Linked DNA regions of Saccharomyces cerevisiae S288C. Changing the gene in region 1 together with any one later gene gives a genetic interaction. Each region holds a gene or a part of one and is shown in the gene's direction. Other genes may lie near its edges. The genes, in order: RAD51, RNH202, YAP1 and NUP133.

Evidence for each region.
Region 2: mutations in RAD51 (region 1) and RNH202 together harm fitness more than expected from each alone (negative genetic interaction), as found in Saccharomyces cerevisiae (6 studies listed by BioGRID, with this or other methods).
Region 3: mutations in RAD51 (region 1) and YAP1 together harm fitness more than expected from each alone (negative genetic interaction), as found in Saccharomyces cerevisiae (7 studies listed by BioGRID, with this or other methods).
Region 4: mutations in RAD51 (region 1) and NUP133 together harm fitness more than expected from each alone (negative genetic interaction), as found in Saccharomyces cerevisiae (6 studies listed by BioGRID, with this or other methods).

The regions. Positions count from the first base shown.
Region 1 is NC_001137.3:348,068-351,691, forward strand, and holds RAD51 (recombinase RAD51), read left to right. Parts: upstream 1-1,912; coding exon 1,913-3,115; downstream 3,116-3,624. Other genes in the region: AIM11 (Aim11p), read right to left, coding at 1-134, 210-333; PUP3 (proteasome core particle subunit beta 3), read right to left, coding at 662-1,279. UniProt on the Saccharomyces cerevisiae protein: Required both for recombination and for the repair of DNA damage caused by X-rays. Its function may be modulated by interaction with other repair proteins. RAD52 interacts directly with RAD51, via its C-terminus.
Region 2 is NC_001136.10:1,017,777-1,020,962, forward strand, and holds RNH202 (Rnh202p), read left to right. Parts: upstream 1-1,591; coding exon 1,592-2,644; downstream 2,645-3,186. Other genes in the region: exosome non-catalytic core subunit RRP45, read left to right, coding at 2,971-3,186. UniProt on the Saccharomyces cerevisiae protein: Non catalytic subunit of RNase H2, an endonuclease that specifically degrades the RNA of RNA:DNA hybrids. Participates in DNA replication, possibly by mediating the removal of lagging-strand Okazaki fragment RNA primers during DNA replication.
Region 3 is NC_001145.3:252,190-256,365, forward strand, and holds YAP1 (DNA-binding transcription factor YAP1), read left to right. Parts: upstream 1-1,658; coding exon 1,659-3,611; downstream 3,612-4,176. Other genes in the region: ERG6 (sterol 24-C-methyltransferase), read right to left, coding at 1-801; MIN4 (Min4p), read right to left, coding at 973-1,083; GIS4 (Gis4p), read right to left, coding at 3,903-4,176. UniProt on the Saccharomyces cerevisiae protein: Transcription activator involved in oxidative stress response and redox homeostasis.
Region 4 is NC_001143.9:591,012-596,863, forward strand, and holds NUP133 (Nup133p), read left to right. Parts: upstream 1-1,813; coding exon 1,814-5,287; downstream 5,288-5,852. Other genes in the region: MTD1 (methylenetetrahydrofolate dehydrogenase (NAD(+))), read left to right, coding at 1-346; rRNA-binding ribosome biosynthesis protein RPF2, read right to left, coding at 495-1,529; DAD2 (Dad2p), read right to left, coding at 5,410-5,811. UniProt on the Saccharomyces cerevisiae protein: Functions as a component of the nuclear pore complex (NPC).

The DNA.
Region 1 (3,624 bases):
CCAACAAAAGCCGAATATCAATGTGCTGAACGTACCTATTGAAGCGGCGGATGCATACGTTAACGCTGACATGGCTTCATTCCTTTGGGAAAAAGGTGGAAGCTTGTAATTTTGTTGAAATATGCTGGGGACGTCTGCTTTCAGTAGACGGTGTTAGTAACTATATCCTATTATTAGTTTTGGCCACTGAACTAGGACAAAATACATACATTTTCGTACTTTTATGGCCCTGGAGATAAGCCTCATGGTAATCAGGGTGAAGGCGGCCGCACCATAAAATCTGGCCATTTGAAGAACCCTGCGTTTCTTAAGTTCCTTCTTCTCTTCGATCATAGTTTCGTTTCTTGATGAAGTAGGATAGTCGTACTAATTGCTGACAAACCCGTCAAAGAATCAAGTTCCCCATCCTAATAAGTATTAAAAGCGCCAATTTTTCAAGAGACTCGCGGCTGGTGAATAACGCTGCTCCTTAGAAAAGGACAGCCAGCGGATAGCTACTCAGATCTTCGACTGACTTTATGCATTTTAGTATTTATATATTCATTCGATCTATTCTGTTTACTTAAAAATTAAAGATGAGTTGGATGTGGAAAATTCTTGACGTTCCGCTGATATTTTGTGTTGGGGTTGTTTTTGGGACCATGAGATTGCCATGAACCGATCAATCTTGTCTCATCTTCAAGTATCTCTTCACCACTTCATCCTTCTTGATGATGTATACTACAGCTCCCCAGCCTGATAGAGCGTCACGGTCAGCAGCATTCAGTAGGGCCTGACTTATAGTTTCGAAAAGATCTTCTGGCTCTAGATTAGGTTCGTACAGGGACTCACACATACCGAACAGTTGGTCGGATGCAGTACCGCTAACGATAAAATCCTTGGCCTCGTCGATACAGCCGATTAGGTCGAATCCCGCAATAAAGGGCTTCCCGGACTTGGAATTAATACCTGCTACCACCGGCCCCACAAAGTATGGACCGAATCTTCTTTCATAAAGTGAACTTGACACTAATTGGGTAAACGTTTCAGGCTCAATGGCCCTTTCTTCCTTCAACTTATATAGGTTCGTCTTGTAGCGGAACATCTCGTTCAGAGTAGTCACGTCGGTAGCCAGACCGGTAATCCCTAAGAACACATGCCCATAGTGGAAGATTTTTTCAAACTTGTTCGACACACCTAGTGACTGGCTTCCGAGACGCAAATCACAGGCAATGGCCACACAGTCTTTACCTGTCATCGCAACGACGATACCACCGTTAATAGAACTTGGATCCGACATTTTTTTTTTATGCTTTATTCACTGTTCAATATTTTCACCACAATTCGCAAGAAACGCACTCTACTTCGAAACTACGGTTCAAACTTACTTAGCAGCTTCCCGATTTAATTGGCCTTTCTACTATGCCATAAACTCTTTCTTCCTCTCTTTTCATCGCCCCTGCATTTGCACTTTTTTGCCACCGGCAGTGCCATCCGGTCACATGACTACACCACGTTAATAGCGATCTGGCTTATCATTGTCACAGAGTAAATTAAAATGGACGGTAAATGTTGGAAATGCACCACTACCGTTCTTCAACCAATCTAGTTTAGCTATCCTGCAACAGGTGGCCTTCTTGAGCATTCCCTGAGCATTCCAACCGGTTGTATCAGTGTTTTATCACCGTCTCACCATATCCCACGACTAGGCCACACTTCGTTACCCTATGCTACGCGTCATTTCCGCTATTTCTGTCCTGGTTTGTTTACAGTACGCGTGGTGGGACCATAAAGGGGAATAGTGGGGACTGGAGAAAAAATTTTCTCAGTTACTTCTTCTATCTTCCGTAGTTTCCATATACTAGTAGTTGAGTGTAGCGACAAAGAGCAGACGTAGTTATTTGTTAAAGGCCTACTAATTTGTTATCGTCATATGTCTCAAGTTCAAGAACAACATATATCAGAGTCACAGCTTCAGTACGGGAACGGTTCGTTGATGTCCACTGTACCAGCAGACCTTTCACAGTCAGTCGTTGATGGAAACGGCAACGGTAGCAGCGAAGATATTGAGGCCACCAACGGCTCCGGCGATGGTGGCGGATTGCAGGAGCAAGCGGAAGCGCAAGGTGAAATGGAGGATGAAGCATACGATGAAGCTGCCTTAGGTTCGTTTGTGCCAATAGAAAAACTGCAAGTGAACGGGATTACTATGGCGGATGTGAAAAAACTAAGGGAGAGTGGGCTTCACACTGCTGAAGCGGTAGCATATGCTCCCAGAAAGGATTTATTGGAAATCAAAGGTATATCGGAAGCTAAGGCAGATAAGTTGCTAAACGAAGCGGCAAGGCTAGTGCCTATGGGATTTGTCACGGCTGCTGATTTTCATATGAGAAGATCGGAGCTGATTTGTTTGACAACGGGTTCTAAGAATTTGGACACTCTTTTGGGTGGTGGTGTGGAAACTGGTTCTATTACTGAGCTTTTCGGTGAATTCAGGACAGGTAAGTCCCAGCTATGTCACACTTTGGCCGTGACATGCCAAATTCCATTGGATATTGGTGGCGGTGAAGGTAAGTGTTTGTATATCGATACCGAAGGTACTTTCAGGCCGGTAAGATTGGTATCCATAGCTCAGCGGTTCGGATTAGACCCGGATGATGCTTTGAACAACGTTGCGTATGCAAGAGCCTATAACGCCGATCATCAGTTAAGACTTCTGGATGCTGCTGCCCAAATGATGAGCGAGTCTCGGTTTTCCTTGATTGTGGTCGATTCTGTTATGGCTCTATACCGTACGGATTTTTCTGGTCGTGGTGAACTAAGCGCAAGGCAAATGCATTTAGCCAAATTTATGCGTGCTTTGCAAAGGCTGGCCGACCAATTTGGTGTTGCAGTCGTCGTTACTAACCAAGTGGTCGCCCAAGTTGATGGTGGTATGGCTTTTAATCCAGATCCAAAGAAGCCTATCGGTGGTAATATTATGGCACATTCTTCCACCACGCGATTAGGTTTCAAAAAGGGTAAGGGATGTCAAAGATTATGCAAAGTTGTTGACTCACCTTGCTTACCAGAGGCTGAATGTGTGTTCGCGATCTATGAAGATGGTGTTGGTGACCCCAGAGAAGAAGACGAGTAGGTATTTGGTCTCTTGTCTCTATTTATTTACACAGGTTTACTTTCAATTCTCCTCTTTTTCTTAGGTTGCGTTCCGTACATTTTTATCTTCATTTCCATCCACTGTCTTAGATTTTTGCATATATTTTGTCATATACCTCGCAACCCTACTGCGGTCTTAACCTTTTTTTTCAGTTCTTTTAAATAACTTTCGTATTGTCTGTCACCCATGAAATATATGTATTTTTCTACTCTTCTTCCCGATGACTACTTCCTCCTGCAGGGTCCGCGCGGCTTTATCCTTTTAGGGGAGTGAAGAGAAAAATTTTCTGATATGTCGCCATCCTCTTATAAAACCAACGTAAAATACCATACACTTCTTTATGGCAATGAATTTCCTTGTCTTCGTTTCGACGTTTTTAAATTGAATAAAAAATTGTACTTGGAAAAAAGAATAGAACAATACTTTTGCTAACAGCAAGAGAAGTACGGTTGACATTACGAGTATCCCTTTGTTAAAATCAGGCAGTA
Region 2 (3,186 bases), on another chromosome or scaffold:
TTCTTATTAAACATGAACATAATAGTGGGTCTAGCAGTTACTATACATTTAAATTGGCGACTACTATTATTCGTACATTCGACTATAGCAGTATTTCCAATTAATGGATCTTTAACTCAGCTATTATACTGTTTGAGTTCCTCGTTTAACATTTCCCTGTCCAACAGGGACTTAAAAGTATGTAGGGTTTGCATTAATATACAGTAGAGACACTTAAATTGTTACTATAGTAACTCAAGTTACTATTCGTGAGAATATTGACTTATTATTCTTCATGAATAGTCGATTAGTAATCAAATGAAGTAATCAGATGTGCAATGCGTCTTTAATGTTTCAGACTGGAGAATGATACGTAGCTACATAATAATCTGGGTACAGTAAACTCAATGATCTATTACCTGAATGATTAATCTGATGCTTGCAATATAACAATTCATCTCGTGACATTAACCATAAGAATTACTCTCATCATTGCTATATCGGCAAGGTTTAATATGTCCAGTCGGAGTGTATTTTATATCTCTTTCTTTTAGAATAAGAATATCTGCTTTTATTCTTAATCAATACTACAACCTAACTACTAACTATCAACACTGTTAATTACGATTCGCTCCAACAAATTTGGTTTTGTGGATTCTTAAATTCTCGAGAAAAACTTCTAATATATCTTGTATACCAGATACTGTAGCCTTTAGCAACGATAGAATACGAACAGTTCTCTTAAAATTCGCCTATTTCTCATACCGTTGCAGATATAACTAAAGTATTGACATTCAGTGACATCTGGCGCTGATATCATTATTTAACACACGTATGTTTGCGTGGCATTGTCATTTTTAAGAGCAGAGAAAGAAACAATGAGCTACTTGAGTGTGACAAGTTGAAAAGTCCACCAATTTCACGTTGAATTAGGATTCATATATGAAATTCTAGTCATTAATTAGAATTGTAAGTTTCTGAGCTTTTTTTTCCTAGTAAATTAAACTTGTCTAATACATCCAGTTGTGATGTATTCTATATCTCAGTTCTACAGTAGCACGAAGTTTCCCGGCCTCTCTATTCAATAAATTCAGCTATCGCTGATTATCAACAGCAGCAACGAATAAAGCATAAAAGAACAGAAAAATTCTTCTACAAATTTATTCTGTAAAGATTCAGCTTCTTTCGTGAATTTCTAAGTTCATGAGGGGAATTTAAGTATGGCGTTTCTTCGTAGCGCCATTGTCTTGAGCCAAAATGGAACTCTAAAAATTTTCACGACATTTTACTAGTCAGTAAAGTGAGCATATACATATAAGAAGAAATTTCAAAAGGTAAAAAATGGAGCAACTTCCAGCTCATTATCTTTTCAATGTTGTCGATGCCATAGTTGGATTATGAAATCTCATATTCATAACCACAACGCGTTTTTTTCCTTTTAAGGCACTACAGACTCCATTCTCACAAGTTTGTCAAAAGCACGAGCGCGATGAGAATTAAAGTCAGATCTGGTTAATGATTCTGGTACAACAGCAGAAACAAATCGAGTACAAATTTAATCTTATTCTGTCGCAATAGTTGACTTTCTTTTCTGGCCTCTCGAACAAAAAGCATGACCGTTTCCAACATTGGGGGGGAAGAACGACTAATAATTTTACCAGACGATTATGAAACTTCGAAAACTATAAACACTTTTACACTGCCGCCACCTTCCAATATTACATCCAAACCTCGTATCGAGCTCTTCGAAAATATTAATGGAAAACTTTACGAAATAAGATCTTTTCAATTCGGCAAAGGGCCCTCGTATTCACATGAGGAAGATTTGGCAAATGATAAATATCACTATACTAAGGAAAATCACCCGATCAAATCAACTTTCATTGTAAATACGTCTGATCCCACCGATGGTTATGTTTTTAACTCAAGCAAAATACACTTTTGTTCTTTATACGATATTGCTTTTAGTTTGATTGGATTTTACTATAGAAACAGTGTTTCAGCAGATGAACAAGATTACTCCAATTCAAGTGATACTGGTGAAAACCAAAAAAGCAACAGCAAAACCAATGAGAAATTTCTTACGGTGCGTGATTACCATGATTTCTTAACGGATAACCATGACAAGAATTGGGAAAACATTTCTTTAAGTCGTCTCAAGAGTGGCTTAGCAAAAGTTAGTGAAACCATTGAGGAAGCTGGTGACGTCTATTACAAGATCACATCTGCAATGATAACACAATTTTTGTTAGGCAAGGTATCAAAAATTGTAGAAAACTTTCCTCCAAGTATCCCTACACTTAAAAATGCCCCAACGGAAATAAAACAGTGCTACAAGGTAGTTATGGCTACAAATCTTTTAGTTTCCCTGATTCCAAGGGCGGCCTACCATAATTTACTTACCTTTTCACCTACAATGGATAGTGGTTGCCTAAATCCGGATATAAAAGCTAGCTTCATAGAACTCGAAAACTACGAGACTACGAACGAATTACAGAATGCTGAAAGAGAATTACTGATGAAAAGTGCCATGAATGTAGGCCTAAATTCGAATGGCAGGGTTTCATTGCCAGTGAAAAAAGTTACCAAAAAAATAGTTCAAAATAAAAAACCAAAAGTAGCCATAGGAAAAGGGGCCATTGATGGATTTTTTAAACGTAAGTAGCTAGTATCATAATTAAACAGCAATTTGAATGCTATAACTCGGTGGTGATGACCTCAGTGCGAGATAATTACACAATATTGTCACTACCAACGAATGGGCTACCTTTTTTTTCCTTTCTCGAATTCAAGAAAAAATTAACAACTTTTCCCTCGATGATGTTAACAAATGTCTGAATATAAAGGAATAGGAAACGGTTGCTAGATTGTATTTACCTTACCAACTTTCAAGTTTTTTTTCTAACTTCCTAACTTTCAGTCTCGATACATTAATCAACAGGACGTAGTGATTGCAAAATTGTTCAGAATATACATTAGATTAAAAGACAAATGGCCAAAGACATTGAGATATCCGCATCCGAGTCAAAATTTATCTTAGAAGCACTGAGACAGAATTATAGGTTGGACGGCCGCTCCTTTGATCAATTTCGTGACGTGGAAATAACGTTTGGTAAAGAATTTGGTGATGTTAGCGTAAAAATGGGCAACACCAAAGTTCACTGCAGGATTAGTTGTCAAATAGCACAACCATACGAAGACAGGCCA
Region 3 (4,176 bases), on another chromosome or scaffold:
ACAGTTCTTCAATGCTTTCCTAGCCACGTCGACATGGAACATCTTTGGGATACCATCACCTAGTTCAATTTCATAAGCGATCTTTCTATGTTCAGGATTGTTTTCGTCATATTTATCAGTCATTACCCATTCGTAAACAGCAAAGGTACCACCCGGTTTCAAAACCTTGTAGATTTCGCTGTATACACCTTCTAATTTTGGAGCGTGACATGTGGCCTCAATTGCATAAACTTTGTCGAAAGTGTTTTCTTCGAAATCCATTTTCATGAAATCACCCTTTACAAAGTCCATTTGGTCACTCAAATTGTATTTTTTAGCGTAATATTTTGCCTTGGCAATTTGGTAATCGTTATTGTTTAGACCGATGACGTTACAACCGGTAAATCTTGCAATCTCTCTTGCTGGGCCCCCAACACCACAACCAACGTCGAGAACTAAATCGCCTCTTTGAATACCAGCCTTGTAAGCTAAATAATGTTCATGTCTTGCTATCGAGGCAGCGAAACTCTCACCTTTATAAAATCTGCTGAAATGGAAAGAGGAACCCCAACCATATTCATAGAAATCTGTAACGACGTTATAGTAGGAATGTGTGGCTTCATTATAATCCTCAAGACGACGTTCTTCGGCATCTTTATCGGTTCTACCATCCCAATTTCTCAAGTACTTCTGAACGGCTTCCTTTTGGGCAGAGTTGTTCTTCGACATCAATGCACTCAAACCTGTCTTTTTACCAATATCATCACCATGTAACTCCCTAGTGAATTGGGCCTGTCTTTTTCTCAATTCTGTTTCACTCATCTTATGCTGCCTACTATATTATTATTTTATTCTTGTTTTTTTAAATTATGTAAAACTTAAATCGAAAGTAAAACAGATAAGGGAAACTTGAATGAAAATTAACAGCTTATAAATTACAAAGACGAATGGAAAGAAAAAGAGAGCAGCAGAGGATAGGAGAAAACACCCGAACTATATAAAAAGCAATGAAGAAGTTATCGGCAACAGCAAGTATTGGAGGTTTCTCACCAATCTTCGCATAAAACGCATGCTTCGTAAGGCGATAAAAATGAAGTGTACCATTGAGACGAAGTGGAGCAGTTTACAGTGAATAATACATTGTCTGCTCCTCACTTACTCTCGCTTCTCGAAAACTTTTTTGTATTTATCGGAAACGGCAGTAAACGACGCCAAAAATTGAAAATAAGTACGGGAACGAGGTACCATATACGAAGATCGGGGCTTTGTTCGGCCCTAAATTTTGCTGATCTTACCCTGTTGCATCTTTTCAAAAATAGTAACCAGCCCTAGCTGTTTGGTTGATTTGACCTAGGTTACTCTTTTCTTTTTCTGGGTGCGGGTAACAATTTGGGCCCCGCCAAAGCGCCGTCTTTGTCATGGGAACCGGAAACCCTCCGATGAAGAGTAGGAGGGTGGCAACTGATGGATGCGTAAGGTCTTAAGAGATACATTTGCTTAATAGTCTTCCGTTTACCGATTAAGCACAGTACCTTTACGTTATATATAGGATTGGTGTTTAGCTTTTTTTCCTGAGCCCCTGGTTGACTTGTGCATGAACACGAGCCATTTTTAGTTTGTTTAAGGGAAGTTTTTTGCCACCCAAAACGTTTAAAGAAGGAAAAGTTGTTTCTTAAACCATGAGTGTGTCTACCGCCAAGAGGTCGCTGGATGTCGTTTCTCCGGGTTCATTAGCGGAGTTTGAGGGTTCAAAATCTCGTCACGATGAAATAGAAAATGAACATAGACGTACTGGTACACGTGATGGCGAGGATAGCGAGCAACCGAAGAAGAAGGGTAGCAAAACTAGCAAAAAGCAAGATTTGGATCCTGAAACTAAGCAGAAGAGGACTGCCCAAAATCGGGCCGCTCAAAGAGCTTTTAGGGAACGTAAGGAGAGGAAGATGAAGGAATTGGAGAAGAAGGTACAAAGTTTAGAGAGTATTCAGCAGCAAAATGAAGTGGAAGCTACTTTTTTGAGGGACCAGTTAATCACTCTGGTGAATGAGTTAAAAAAATATAGACCAGAGACAAGAAATGACTCAAAAGTGCTGGAATATTTAGCAAGGCGAGATCCTAATTTGCATTTTTCAAAAAATAACGTTAACCACAGCAATAGCGAGCCAATTGACACACCCAATGATGACATACAAGAAAATGTTAAACAAAAGATGAATTTCACGTTTCAATATCCGCTTGATAACGACAACGACAACGACAACAGTAAAAATGTGGGGAAACAATTACCTTCACCAAATGATCCAAGTCATTCGGCTCCTATGCCTATAAATCAGACACAAAAGAAATTAAGTGACGCTACAGATTCCTCCAGCGCTACTTTGGATTCCCTTTCAAATAGTAACGATGTTCTTAATAACACACCAAACTCCTCCACTTCGATGGATTGGTTAGATAATGTAATATATACTAACAGGTTTGTGTCAGGTGATGATGGCAGCAATAGTAAAACTAAGAATTTAGACAGTAATATGTTTTCTAATGACTTTAATTTTGAAAACCAATTTGATGAACAAGTTTCGGAGTTTTGTTCGAAAATGAACCAGGTATGTGGAACAAGGCAATGTCCCATTCCCAAGAAACCCATCTCGGCTCTTGATAAAGAAGTTTTCGCGTCATCTTCTATACTAAGTTCAAATTCTCCTGCTTTAACAAATACTTGGGAATCACATTCTAATATTACAGATAATACTCCTGCTAATGTCATTGCTACTGATGCTACTAAATATGAAAATTCCTTCTCCGGTTTTGGCCGACTTGGTTTCGATATGAGTGCCAATCATTACGTCGTGAATGATAATAGCACTGGTAGCACTGATAGCACTGGTAGCACTGGCAATAAGAACAAAAAGAACAATAATAATAGCGATGATGTACTCCCATTCATATCCGAGTCACCGTTTGATATGAACCAAGTTACTAATTTTTTTAGTCCGGGATCTACCGGCATCGGCAATAATGCTGCCTCTAACACCAATCCCAGCCTACTGCAAAGCAGCAAAGAGGATATACCTTTTATCAACGCAAATCTGGCTTTCCCAGACGACAATTCAACTAATATTCAATTACAACCTTTCTCTGAATCTCAATCTCAAAATAAGTTTGACTACGACATGTTTTTTAGAGATTCATCGAAGGAAGGTAACAATTTATTTGGAGAGTTTTTAGAGGATGACGATGATGACAAAAAAGCCGCTAATATGTCAGACGATGAGTCAAGTTTAATCAAGAACCAGTTAATTAACGAAGAACCAGAGCTTCCGAAACAATATCTACAATCGGTACCAGGAAATGAAAGCGAAATCTCACAAAAAAATGGCAGTAGTTTACAGAATGCTGACAAAATCAATAATGGCAATGATAACGATAATGATAATGATGTCGTTCCATCTAAGGAAGGCTCTTTACTAAGGTGTTCGGAAATTTGGGATAGAATAACAACACATCCGAAATACTCAGATATTGATGTCGATGGTTTATGTTCCGAGCTAATGGCAAAGGCAAAATGTTCAGAAAGAGGGGTTGTCATCAATGCAGAAGACGTTCAATTAGCTTTGAATAAGCATATGAACTAAAGCGGGAACTTTATGGAAAACTGGGTAACCGAAAGAACTTTTTCTATAATGTTACAATTAAACTTTTTTAACTTACCTTGCTTCGCCTTTTCGCCGAAAGTAGGTAGATTGTATCACCTCGGTATTTTTTTATGTACACAACCTATACTTTAAATATATTTAGACTATGTATGAATTCTCTGTATCACCTTCAATGTCAATATAGAAACTGGTAAGTGCAATAGTACCAATAATGATTATAATTATAATACAAGTATATATATATATCTATATATAGTGGTAAAGTATTCTTTACATGATGGCACAACGCTGAGATTTATCCGTACCTGCAGAACCACTGTTTTTATGATTCTTAAACCTATTCATCTGGAATTTCCAACGCTTTCTATCCTTGTTAGTGGCATGAGTAGGGTTATCTATGCCGCTTAAAGACTTTAGTAATGTAGGTAAAGGCAAACTTTTGGACCTTTCCACGGCACTCATAGCATTGATGGAACTCTTTATCTTTTTCAACTCATTTTTGGAATTACTTTCATTGTTACCCTTGGAATTAGGTTTGTGAGAA
Region 4 (5,852 bases), on another chromosome or scaffold:
TGTGGACGTTAACAACATTCAAAAATTCACCCGTGGTGAAAGTTTGAAATTAAACAAGCATCATGTGGAAGACCTTGGGGAGTACTCTGAAGATCTGTTGAAAAAGTGTTCTCTTGATTCAGATGTGGTCATCACTGGTGTCCCTAGTGAAAATTACAAATTCCCCACCGAATACATCAAAGAAGGTGCCGTCTGCATCAATTTTGCATGCACCAAAAATTTTAGCGATGATGTCAAGGAAAAAGCTTCTCTTTACGTTCCAATGACTGGTAAAGTTACCATTGCAATGTTGTTGAGAAACATGTTACGTTTAGTAAGGAACGTAGAACTGTCTAAAGAAAAATAGAACATTTGTGGCTGTTCAAATAAGCATAGGTAAAACAGAATACATAAAAATAAGGGAAAAAAAGAAAGATCATTTGTAATGTACTTACTACATACATATAGAATTCTCCTCTCTTAGATTATCATATAATATACAAAGTTTATGGGTCTTATTTCTTCTGTCTTTTAGCAGAGGGCTCAATATCAGTGGCACTGACGAACTCTTCTTCGTATTCTTGTCCATCATCCGAATACGACGCTTCATCTTCGTAGTCTTCATCTACCTCTCCATCACCTTCTTCAGTTCCTTGGTCGAATTTGGATTTCAAACCCTTCATCTTTCTTGTTTGTAGTTTACCCAAATCTTGTTTGCCCATATGGATTCTACCCAATTTATCACCCATGATATCTAATTCTACATTCTTCTTTGTCTTCATTTCTAATTGTTTTGGCTTCTTGTGAGCTTCAGTGACCATATCTGGACTTGGAGTATGAATTCTGCCGATTTTGAAATCTAGACGTGGCCCAATCTCCACCAATTCAATACGTGGTAATCTCTTACCACCTTGGTCGCTTTTATAACTTTTTAATTTGTAAACACGGAATAGAACGTTCGGCAATGGCTCACCATCTTGGAAGTCACCTTGAATGGTCATGGAAATGACATGTTGTAATCCCGCAACATCCTGTAAATCAGTAGATTCGCCTCTAAAGAAATCTAAAAACAAAGATTTAATTTGCTTGTATACGGGATGTGTATCAAATGCAGCACCTTGGAATGTAAACATAGGCTTCAACCCTACAGTAAATGTTAATTTCTTAAAATCAGATAACAACTTGAAATTATCTGCAACCATTAGTTCAATCATATCATATATTTTGTAGCCAAATGTACGTATAAAGGTCATGTTGTTTTTACGCTTTTTGGAACTTGTCATCAGCACCATCAATGAACAGTCATTCTTTTCACTAAAGAACTCTAGTGGCGACATGTCTTCGAAAGGATGAATATCATTCTTACGATTGAACCTCTTCATATCTGGCTTCTTCAAGGCACTCAAATCTACCATAATATCGTGCAGATTCTTGTTACAGCTTTGCCCTGGAATGAATAGCGCTTGCTTGACATTCTCTACCAACTTAGCTTCCCTCTTTACCAAAGCTCTCTTGGCTCTTGCATTCTTGGGTTTTACGGTTCTAATCATTTTTTCTGCCAGTGTTCTCCTGCGCTTTTGGATATGATAACTTCAATACAACTCATCGATATACCAAATCACTTTCCAATAATGCATTACACTATAAGAAAATTCGATCCTTAGCTCATCGCAAAAAAATGAAAAATTTTCAAATCGTATAAAACGATATATTTGAGGATTTAGGAATCAAAATAGCAGAATAAACCAAAACATACACCATTTAGGAATAAGGTTTAGAGGAGCTCGAGCATACTGTTACATCCAATTCAAGTGAAGTACATTAGGATAGCCATATGAGTGAAAAAAAAGTACATCTTCGTTTGCGGAAGGAACTTAGCGTACCCATTGCGGTGGTTGAAAACGAATCCCTGGCGCAGTTGTCTTATGAAGAGGAAAGCCAGGCCTCTCTAATGGACATTTCCATGGAGCAGCAACAGTTAAGGTTACATTCGCACTTTGATAATTCCAAGGTTTTCACAGAAAATAACAGATACATAGTAAAAACCCTTCAAACAGACTACAGTAGCGGATTCAGTAACGATGACGAATTGAATGGATATATCGATATGCAAATTGGATATGGACTAGTCAATGACCACAAGAAGGTTTACATCTGGAATATTCACTCCACTCAAAAGGATACGCCCTATATAACTGTACCATTTCGTTCTGATGATAATGATGAAATAGCAGTCGCGCCCAGGTGCATACTAACTTTCCCTGCTACAATGGATGAGTCTCCATTAGCACTGAATCCTAATGATCAGGACGAAACCGGAGGGCTTATCATTATCAAAGGTAGCAAAGCGATATATTATGAGGATATCAACTCCATAAATAATTTGAACTTTAAGTTATCTGAAAAATTCTCTCACGAGTTAGAATTACCCATCAACTCTTCGGGCGGAGAGAAGTGTGACCTAATGTTAAACTGCGAACCTGCTGGTATAGTGCTTTCTACAAATATGGGCAGAATATTTTTTATAACCATTAGAAATTCCATGGGTAAACCTCAACTGAAGTTAGGCAAACTATTAAATAAACCTTTCAAATTGGGTATCTGGTCCAAAATTTTCAATACAAACAGTTCAGTTGTCTCATTACGAAATGGACCTATCCTCGGTAAGGGGACAAGGTTAGTATATATTACTACTAACAAAGGAATTTTTCAAACATGGCAGTTGTCTGCCACGAATTCCCATCCAACAAAATTGATTGATGTAAACATTTACGAAGCCATTTTAGAGTCGCTCCAGGATTTGTATCCATTTGCTCATGGTACGTTGAAGATTTGGGACTCTCATCCATTACAAGATGAAAGTTCACAACTTTTCCTGTCATCTATTTACGACAGTTCATGCAATGAAACATATTATATTCTTTCCACGATTATCTTCGATTCTTCTTCTAATAGTTTTACTATTTTTTCCACTTATAGATTGAACACTTTTATGGAGTCAATAACCGACACAAAGTTTAAGCCTAAGATATTTATACCTCAGATGGAGAATGCTAACGATACCAATGAGGTAACTTCCATTTTGGTAATGTTCCCCAATGCTGTTGTCATTACTCAGGTGAACTCAAAATTGGACTCTAGCTATTCAATGAGAAGAAAGTGGGAAGATATTGTTAGCCTTAGAAATGACATTGATATAATTGGTTCTGGTTACGACTCAAAATCTTTGTATGTTTTAACGAAACAAATGGGGGTGCTACAGTTTTTTGTGAAAGAGAATGAGGAAACAAATTCTAAACCGGAAGTTGGGTTTGTCAAATCTCATGTTGATCAAGCTGTTTATTTCTCCAAAATAAATGCAAATCCCATAGATTTCAATTTACCTCCAGAAATTTCACTAGATCAAGAATCTATAGAGCATGATTTAAAATTAACCAGCGAGGAGATTTTTCATTCCAACGGCAAGTACATACCCCCTATGCTAAATACGTTGGGGCAACATCTCTCTGTCCGTAAAGAATTTTTTCAAAATTTCCTGACATTTGTTGCTAAGAACTTCAACTATAAAATATCACCCGAACTGAAATTGGATCTGATCGAAAAATTTGAGATCTTGAATTGCTGTATTAAGTTCAATAGTATCATCAGACAATCTGATGTATTGAACGATATATGGGAGAAGACTTTATCAAACTATAATCTGACACAAAATGAACACTTAACTACTAAAACAGTTGTAATCAACAGTCCCGACGTATTTCCAGTAATCTTTAAACAATTTTTAAACCATGTTGTGTTTGTTTTGTTCCCATCACAAAATCAAAATTTCAAACTAAATGTTACCAATTTAATCAACTTATGCTTTTATGATGGAATTCTTGAAGAAGGTGAAAAAACTATAAGGTATGAACTTTTGGAGTTAGACCCGATGGAGGTTGATACATCCAAGCTACCATGGTTCATAAACTTTGATTACTTAAACTGTATCAATCAATGTTTTTTTGATTTTACATTTGCGTGTGAGGAGGAAGGAAGTCTGGATTCTTATAAAGAGGGCTTGTTAAAGATTGTGAAAATTTTATATTATCAGTTCAACCAATTTAAAATATGGATCAACACGCAACCCGTTAAATCTGTGAACGCCAATGATAATTTTATAAATATCAACAATCTTTATGATGATAACCACCTGGATTGGAACCACGTCCTTTGTAAGGTAAATCTAAAAGAACAGTGTATTCAAATAGCAGAATTTTACAAAGATTTATCTGGATTGGTGCAAACATTACAAACTTTAGATCAAAATGACTCAACAACCGTATCGCTATACGAAACATTCTTCAACGAATTCCCTAAAGAGTTTAGCTTTACATTATTTGAATATTTAATCAAGCATAAAAAATTGAACGACCTCATCTTCAGGTTCCCACAACAACACGATGTTTTAATACAGTTTTTCCAAGAGTCCGCTCCAAAGTACGGTCATGTAGCATGGATCCAACAGATTCTGGATGGGTCGTACGCAGATGCCATGAATACTTTAAAAAACATTACTGTTGATGATTCAAAGAAGGGCGAAAGCTTGAGCGAATGTGAATTGCACTTGAATGTTGCAAAATTAAGCTCGTTGCTAGTTGAAAAGGATAATTTGGACATTAATACTTTGAGAAAGATCCAATATAATTTAGATACAATTGATGCTGAGAAAAATATTTCAAACAAATTGAAAAAGGGCGAAGTTCAGATATGTAAACGCTTCAAGAATGGCTCTATCAGGGAAGTTTTCAACATATTAGTGGAAGAGCTTAAATCAACAACAGTAGTCAATCTATCGGATCTCGTTGAGTTGTATTCTATGCTCGACGATGAAGAGAGCTTATTCATACCGCTAAGGCTTCTTTCTGTTGATGGAAACTTACTGAATTTTGAAGTTAAAAAGTTCTTGAATGCTTTGGTATGGAGAAGAATCGTTCTACTAAATGCTAGTAATGAAGGAGATAAACTGCTTCAGCATATAGTCAAACGTGTTTTTGATGAAGAACTACCCAAAAATAATGATTTCCCCTTGCCCAGTGTGGATCTTTTATGTGACAAATCGTTACTGACGCCAGAATACATAAGCGAAACATATGGCAGGTTTCCTATTGATCAGAATGCCATACGTGAAGAGATATATGAAGAAATATCTCAAGTGGAAACGTTGAACTCAGACAACTCACTCGAGATAAAGTTGCACTCGACTATTGGTTCTGTAGCGAAAGAAAAAAACTATACCATCAACTATGAAACCAACACTGTAGAATACTAATATCTATAATACAATTTTACATATATATAATAAACTTTACTGGGGAATGATAATAATAAATATGTATATGCTATTATCGCAACTGCCTTCTTCCGATTTATATAAGATCCTTTTCTTTCTGTTCATTCGTTACCATCTACCCTAATTCTGACCATTGTTTCCGGCAAGGGTACCAGATCTTCATCCTCATCATTATCTTCATCATTCTTATCATTTTCTTGCGCTTCAAGACCTGTTTCATTTGATTGTTCAGATTCCTTTTTCTTAGAATCTTTCCACGGTCCTATCTCATAATCACCCTCTGCATATTGCAATAATCCCAAACTTGCTTGCGATATATTGTTTATTATAGAATCCCAATTGTTCATCAATTGGGCCACTGAATCCGCATTCATTCCCATTTCTTTGATCTGCTCATTCAACTCTGTTAGCTGAATTTTTAAGCCATCCGTTAAACTGGTTATCTTTTGTAATGACTGAAGTTCTTTTCGCTTTATAGCAATTTGTTCATCTATTGAATCCATAATAACTGTCTGAATTATGAGTTTTTCAAACCTATTCAATA